Linked DNA regions of Macaca fascicularis. The protein of the gene in region 1 purifies or fractionates together with the protein of each later gene. This does not show direct contact. Links are inferred from orthologs where the notes say so. Each region holds a gene or a part of one and is shown in the gene's direction. Other genes may lie near its edges.

What was found. The genes of interacting proteins can lie anywhere in the genome.
Region 2: the proteins of RCCD1 (region 1) and KDM8 purify together in Homo sapiens (co-immunoprecipitation; 3 studies listed by BioGRID and IntAct, counting the BioPlex papers as one, with this or other methods). This does not show direct contact. The link is inferred for Macaca fascicularis from reciprocal best matches to the Homo sapiens genes RCCD1 and KDM8.

Annotation. Positions count from the first base shown.
Region 1 is NC_088381.1:75,521,421-75,525,017, forward strand, and holds part of RCCD1 (RCC1 domain-containing protein 1), read left to right. Parts: intron 1-1,404; coding exon of another isoform or gene 1,405-1,446; intron 1,447-1,772; coding exon of another isoform or gene 1,773-1,949; intron 1,950-3,032; coding exon of another isoform or gene 3,033-3,143; intron 3,144-3,217; coding exon of another isoform or gene 3,218-3,219; exon of another isoform or gene 3,220-3,293; coding exon 3,294-3,463; coding exon of another isoform or gene 3,464-3,479; 3' UTR 3,480-3,597. Other genes in the region: PRC1 (protein regulator of cytokinesis 1), read right to left, coding at 1,405-1,446, 1,773-1,949, 3,033-3,143. UniProt on the Homo sapiens protein: Plays a role in transcriptional repression of satellite repeats, possibly by regulating H3K36 methylation levels in centromeric regions together with KDM8.
Region 2 is NC_088394.1:26,283,357-26,287,661, forward strand, and holds the start of KDM8 (bifunctional peptidase and arginyl-hydroxylase JMJD5), read left to right. Parts: upstream 1-1,457; 5' UTR 1,458-1,599; intron 1,600-1,926; exon of another isoform or gene 1,927-2,118; intron 2,119-4,305. UniProt on the Homo sapiens protein: Bifunctional enzyme that acts both as an endopeptidase and 2-oxoglutarate-dependent monooxygenase.

The DNA of each region.
Region 1 (3,597 bases):
TGCCCAGGTTTGTAGCCTAGGAGGAAAACGCCATACCATATAGCTTAGGTGTGTAGGCTGTACTGTCTAGGACTGTTAAGTACACACTGATATGTGCACAATGAAATTGCCCCACACATTCTCAGAACATATCCCTGTCATTAAGTGAGGCATGACTCTACTTCACAAAGCTACTTTAGAGTCGTCAAGTAGGCAACAAGCTTTGGTCTCCTGAAGCCCTCTATAAAACAATGGGCCAGAACATACATCTACCAATCCCTGGGGCTGAGGCCTTGTAACCTGCTGGTGATTTGATCTCATGCTGGAGCACATGGTATAGCAGCAAAAGATAAAGCATGAATGGCCATTGAGAAAGACAGATATTAGCAGAGGTTAGTTTACCGGCTTTGGTGCTGCCTGGTGGAGTCTATCAGCCTTACCAACTCAAACCAGATGAACCTACCTAGGACTAGCCACAGAGATAGGCAGGTACATTTAAGCCTCAACTAGATAAAATGGGCCTTGGTTGAACAAGCAAAAAAGAGAAAGCTGGACCTCTGTCCAGCAGTCAGCCAGAGTGACACACACCCACTTTTATAGGTAGAAGCACCACCAGCCATGTAATTTGAAAAACTTGCTGGAGTAGGAAGCCAGTTTCAGTGATTAAAATTAGCTGCAGCCTTGGCCAACTGTTCCATTCTCCATCCCTGCAGCAATTAAGAGGGGAGGCAGGCTAGGGGTTTAACTCAACATCCCCTCAAGGGTGAGGGACATCCTCACCTCTTGCTAGTAAAATATTGAGAGAAGAGAAGATAGATTAAGTAAAAGGCAGTGTAATTAGGTGTTAGCAGATATAGAGTAGGATACTAGGAAGTGAAGAGCATTCTGGAAAAACTTGCTTCCAATGCTTCATCTATGCTTCAGTAGCTCAGTGTATGGAAAGAGGCAAAGGTGAGGAAATCGGCATTAGCTAGCTGAGAATAGACAGAGCTGGCAGTTGAGCCCTGAGGTTAGGAAGGCATATACTCCAGGAAATAATCAGCACACAGGCCAAGAGCCTCATTGTAGGCAGCACACAGCTGGGGCTCCCTTCCCCATGTGATGGGGCCTCTATTCTTTCCAGCTACTGCAGGCCTTTGATGTCACAATTGGGGAGGGTCAAGGTTTTCTGTTAAAACACGATTTAAAACTGCCTGACTTTAGGGGCTGAGAATCCAATTCAAGTCTGAACAAATTTTCTTATTAATCTGTTGTGAATGTAAATCAGATGTGTTTTTTTTGAGTCCATGATAGGAATTCCTGCTTCCTTTGTAACACTGCCGAGATTATTGGTTAGTGTAGCCCTGTGCCCAGATGAATGAAGCCAGCAGATGACAGATCAGTTTGGAAAAGGGACATGGGACGTGCAGGGGTTGCCATACAGACCTGAAGCCCAACAGTGGAACTGTCAGAGAGGGACGGATCCTTCTAAGAACAAAGAATTGAGACAATTACCAAGAACTCCACCAAGAGAGCACCAGGGCAGTGATAGAGGGGTTGCCTCCCGCAGCCAGGGAATGGTATATATTAAGCAGAAGGATCCAGGTTCAATGTCTAGTTGCTGCTGCCAACTTCCTTCCTATACAACCCCCCCTTAAATCACACCCACCCCGCCATGGTCAAAGCAGGAAAGGGATTCTCAGCCTCCAAGGTAGCTGCCCTAGCTAACAGCCTGGGTGCCCCTGGGAAGATACCCACTCTGCCCCAACTGTGTGCTCCCCAGAGACTGGTAGATATTAGAAAAGGTGAATTACCGCAAACTCAGAATAGGTGCTGGCAACAGAATTAATGCTGAAGTTGCGCTGGAGGGGGGCCGAGCCAGGGTACCCACCACTCAGGATGCTGCCGTTGAGCTCCAGGTTCTCCTTGTTGGCTCCATGCCTGCCAGTACGGGGTGTTTTCTTCCCTGAACAGGTGGAAGCAGCAACTGGCTGCAGAGAAAGGAAAGAGATCCATGTATCCTCCTTCTAATGAACGTGCACACACAATACCTGCACTGGTCAACGGCTGAGACTATCTTTATATTCATGTCTAGAATCCTATACTTTTTAGTTAAAAAAAATATATATATGGGGCTGGGTGTGGCTCACGCCTATAATCCCAACACTTTGGGAGGCCAAGGCAGGAGGATTGCTTGAGGCCACATGTTCAAGACCAGCCTGGGAAACATAACAGAACCCCATCTCTAGAAAAAAATTTTTTAAAATATGAATTCTTGATTTACAGAACACCTATCTTGTGCATAGTCTAATAAAATATTTGAAAGACTGTGCTTTACCACATACTTTTCAACATCTCTACTGAGTACTTGGCATGTCTAGTGATCTGGTTTCACTGGGCTGGAACCCACATGTAGGGGACCTAGCTCCATACCAGCTGAAGACTGGGCTTGGAATTGAGTCCACAGTGACCCTGCCTGATCTTCAGTTTCCCAGACATCCCAGTGCTTCTCATGATACCAGTGGGGCTCAGAGTGACTGTTCTCTTTTTTTGCACATTAATTTTGGACCATTATTTAATGGTGAGCTAGCTTATATCTGTCAACTCTCAGCATGTAAGTAAGAACCAGGCCGGGCGCGGTGGCTCACGCCTGTAATCCCAGCACTTTGGGAGGCCGAGGCGGGCGGATCACAAGGTCAGGAGATCGAGACCACGGTGAAACCCCGTCTCTACTAAAAATACAAAAAATTAGCCGGGCGCGGTGGCGGGCGCCTGTAGTCCCAGCTACTCAGGAGGCTGAGGCAGGAGAATGGCGTAAACCCAGGAGGCGGAGCTTGCAGCGAGCCGAGATCGCGCCACTGCACTCCAGCCTGGGCGACAGAGCGAGACTCCGTCTCAAAAAACAAAAAAAAAAAAACAAAACAAACAAACAAAAAAACCCAAAAAAAAAACAACAACAAAAAAAGTAAGAACCAAATCCAGGGATCTTAGAATCCAGAACAAGTAGGTGGGGCCTCTGGGTGAACAGGCTAGGGATGCATGTGAGGATGTGCTTAGACACAGGGCATACTAACCTTGCTGCCAGAAGGAGGAAGTCGAGACACAGGGGAGTGGTAGATTGTCCCTCCAAAGATAGGCCGAATGCTACTATTGGCCGTAGCATTGGACATGGTGGTAGTGTTCAGCTAGAGAGAACACACGGGTTACTTATGTGCAGTAACATCCTCAGCATTTCCAGCAACCCGTCTCTACCCTACAGAGAAATGACTATTGGAGGCAGTCCAGGGAAGATGGGTTTACATGGTGAAGGGCCTGCTGTGTCTAATACTGCATAGGTTTGAAGAAACCTGTGGAAAATTTTCAAAGCCTATTGATATCCAGCAAATGGAAATGTAAAATGGTACAACCACTGTGGCACAAGACATCTAGCATACGACCCAGCCATTCTACTCTCAGGTGTCTCTACCCAAAAGAAACGAAAGCAGACATCCATACAAAGACTTAGATGTAAATGTTCATAGCAGCTACCTGCAACAGCCAAAAGCTGGAAACAACCAAATACCCATCAGCAGGTAAGTGGACAAACTGTGGCAAATTCATACAGTGGAATGAATATTGATATGCAATAAAAAGGAGTGA
Region 2 (4,305 bases), on another chromosome or scaffold:
CGGAGCCGGAGTTTTGGGTCCATGGATAGAATGTGTCTCCTTTGCCTTTACTAGAGAGGAAAAAGAACTGGAATCGGAAGGACAGGGAGATTGAAGGGTAGCAAGAGAGGGAGATTGAAGGGTAGCAAGAAAGGCTGGAGAAGAGAGTGAAATTGGTGAGATGTTCCTTGGACTGGTTGGTCTGAGGACCTGAGGTCGTAGGTGGATCTCCTCACAGAGGAGAGGACGGGGGACCAGTCTCCCGAAGGAGTCCTTCTGACCCGGGTCTTCGGCACCAAATTTCACACATGTCCGTGTGAAGAGACCACCAAACAGGCTTTGTGTGAGCAACAAGGCTGTTTATTTCACCTGCGTGCAGGTGGACTGAGTACAAAAAGAGAGTCAGTGAAAGGAGATGGGGTGGGGCCATTTTATAGGATTTGGATAGGTAATGGAAAATTATAGTCAAAGGGGGTAGTTCTCTGGCCGGCAGGGGTGGGGGTCACAAGGTGCTCAGTGGGGGAGCTTCTGAGCCAGCAGAAGGAATTTCACGAGGTAATGTCATCAGTTAAGACAGGAACAGGTCATTTTCACTTCTTTTGTGATTCTTTAGTTACTTCAGACCATCTGGATGTATACACGCAGGCTTGGGCTCAGAGGACTGACAGTTTCCCTTTTCACTTGGTTCTCATCTTCTCTTGTGTTCCGCCATGTCAGACGTGCCTTTCACCTTCCACCATGATTGTGAGGCCTCCCCAGCCATGTGGAACTGTGAATCCATTAAACCCCTTTTTCTTTGTAAATTGCCCAGTTTCAGGTATGTCTTTGTATCAGCAGCGTGAAAGTGGATTAACATACTCCCTCAAATAGGGACGATCATGATCATTACAATAGCTACAATCTTAATATTTTTAAAGCACAGTACCTAGAATCCACTAATCTATGAACTGATCTTGAGCAAGCCTGTTTCCTACTCAGACCCCAAGCTCAGTATGAACATAACTTTCCATGCCTCTGTGCAATGCTGCAAAAGGCGGAGTCCATAGGAGAGTGTGCTCAAAACACAAAGTCCCAGTGACCCCGCACCACTCGACATCAAAGCAAACGTGGCAGGAGTGTGTCCTCTGGCCACTTGCCTTCTCACTCGAACAGACTGTGGATGTAGCACTTGCTCGTGGGTAATTGTGGATCTGACTTTCCAAAAGTACAAGTATGTGGCCACTTTAATCACTGAGCTTCAGTTTCGCTCTCTGTAAAATAGGGAGAACTAATAATCCTAGCTGCAGGGATTAAATGGTGGATGCAAACAGCCTTGTACGAAGTTGTTATCTGTGCAGAGGAAAAAGCGGGTGTCACTGGCATGGAAGGACCCGGAGGATACAGCCCAGCCTTTCTCTGTCTTGTCCATCCCCTGGTCTTTTAAACGCGAGTGGGGCGGGGCCACGGCATCGATCACTCGGCACTCCTCTAGGCACTGCGTCGTGATCAGACGAGCGGTGAGCGATCGATACTCCTATGCTAGCGTCTGACTCCTGGGGGGAGACAGCCGCGTCGTCGGACCAAAAGCAACGAGTAGTCGCCAGCCCAAAGGCGACTCGACACCGTCCCAGCTGAAGAGAGGTTAGTCTGAGCAACTCGAGAGCGGAGTCAGCTCCAGTTCCTCAGAAGTGGAGAGGCCGGGTTCAGAGGCATAGACCGCGCAGGCGTCATGTGAAGCAGCCAAGCCCGGCCTCGCGCGTGCGCCTTGGAAAGCCCGAGGCTTGCTCGAGTCGGCGCATGCGCTCTGAGCCGGCCTGCGCTGCTGGAGCGAGGGAAAGGCTCTGCGCGTGCGTAGTGCTCGTCTTCTGGCAGTGGTTTGGCGCATGCGTGAGGGCAGGCCCTTAAGGCCGGCTGCTGTGCGCTTTCGCGGTTCTAGGCGTCTAGTCGGTGTAGCCCTAGTGCGCCTGCGCGGATTGTATGCTCTGGTGTGTGTGTGTTCGCTGGTTTTGGGCAATCAGCCGCTGCCTCTGGGCTGCAAGGCCGGCTGGGAACGATTCAGCCGTCAGGTCCCAGATAAGAGCCGCGAGAAATGTAGCTCCGGGAAAGGCGCTGAGGAGGAAAGGGGGTCTGAGGCCTCGGGGGGCTCAAGGCTAATGCGGGGTACGTGGGACCCTGTAGGGCCTGGGTGTGTGGCTGCCCTAAGGAAAGGTGCTTGTAGCTCGGTAAGACTTAACGATGGGCATCGGTGCGTTTCCCAGCAACGGTAAGAATCGCCGTGCTCGGGAGGACACGGGAGCAAGCCCGGGGTCAGGAGGTGCGCGGGCGTTGGGGCCACACGGATGACCCAAACACAAGACTGTGTGCCCCTTCGTGAGCCAAAGGGATCCTTGTGCCATGAATAAAGCTCTCTGGAAAATTCCAAACTTCTCTGGGAAGTTTTACAAAGCTCTTGTTTTTGCACAAGTTTTGTGGAATACTGCCATAATAACATTGAAGAGATTAGAGAACTGGATTGCCTGTTCCAAGAAAGCCCGATGTAGGCTGACCTGTCCTGGAAGCCCCCTTTGAGAGGCTTTCTCATGACCAGCATGGTGCTCGCAGAGTGCCCACCCTGAGACCCTCTGCAAATCACAGTGAGGCTCTCGGAGAGGCCGTTCCACCCAGCCACCTTAAAGAATACTCAGGGAGGTGCTTTAGAGGAGTTGATGTTTAAAAATAATTTAAGGCTGGGCGCGGTGGCTCATGCCTGTAATCCCAACCCTTTGGGAGGCCGAGACAGGCCGGTCACTTCAGGTCAGGAGTTCACGAGACCAGCCTAGCCAACATGGCGCAACCCCGTCTCCACTAAAAATACAAAAATTAGCTGAGTGTGGTGGTGCACACCTGTAATCCCAGCTACTCGGGCGGCCGAGGCAGGAGAATTGCTTGAACCTAGGAAGCAGAGGTTGCAGTGAGCCGAGATTGGGGCACTGCATTCCAGCCAGGGTGAGAGGGGACTCCGTCTCAAAAAAAATAAAAATAATTTGAAAGAATCCTGGGATGGCAGGGCAGTGGTTTCCAAGAGGGATATATCCCGTAACCTACCAGGAACCCACTTTGCTAGTGTGCATAGTGAATTCTGTCTGGATGCTGAATTTATAAAGTCCAGGCCCGAGTCTTCAGACTGTTATATACAGGCTATACGTGGCTCCTTTTTGTTTAATACGGCCAACAAGAAGCCTTTTATAAGATTCATCTTAGTCTTGTTTATAAATCCAGGAGAAAAACCACTCTGAGAGGTTAGGACATGACAGCCTATATTCTGACCTTTGCAAGGTCATTTCATACACCAGCAGACAAGACTTTAAGGAGCATTTAGGGGCTGAATCAAGTCCACTCAAAAGCTGTTTTGTGCAACCCACGCTTGATCTTCCCCCGAAAGCTGTTCCAGGTGATGAGGCCAGTTCACAAACCAGGACATAAGACCACTCAAGCTGTTTCTATACCTGATCCCCCAGCCCCCCGCCAAAAAAAAAAAAAAAAGCCCTCCCTGGGCCGGGCATGCTGGCTCACGCCTGTAATCTGAACTTTGGGAGGCTGAGCCAGGCAGATCACCTGAGGTCAGGAGTTCAAGACCAGCCTGGGCAACATGGTGAACTCCCGTCGCCACTAAAAATAGAAAAATTAGCTGGGTGTGGTGGCAGGCGCCTGTAATCCCAGCTACTCAGGAGGCTGAGGCAGGGGAATCACTTGAACTCGGGAGGCAGAGGTTGCAGTGAGCCGAGATGGCACCATTGCACTCCAGCCTAGGTGACAGAGTGAGACTCTGTCTTTAAAAAAAAAAAAAAAAAAAAAAAAAAGCCTTCTCCAATCAACAAGAGGTCTTTGAAGGCCAATACCTGTTGAGCTCTGGGAGACTGACTTGTAAAGTGAAGATACGAGGCCACTCAGGCTTTTTCATATGGCCCACATTTGGGTTATGGTAGGTGTGAGTTTGCCTGGAATAACACCAGTTTTTTACTGATGCAGACATAAATATTAATAGCATCTTGGTCTGGATGACCCACGTACACCTGGCCACTAGAAGGCTATCTGTACAACTCCCAATAAACCCTTTTACGTGGAGCTCTTGAAGGCCAGTGTGTGGCACCACTCTCAAAGACTGCTTCACACATCTTTTTTCTTCTTGCAGATAACTGGCAAGTCACACATCTTATTCTCGACTCCCTTCTTTGGAAGCCTGTTTAGCCTTTTGTGTGTGTATTCTTTTTTTTTTTTTTTTTTTTTTTTTTTGGGAGGGACGGAGTCTTGCTCTGTCACCCAGGCTGGAGTGCAGTGGCTAGATCTCGGCTCACCCCAACCTCTGCC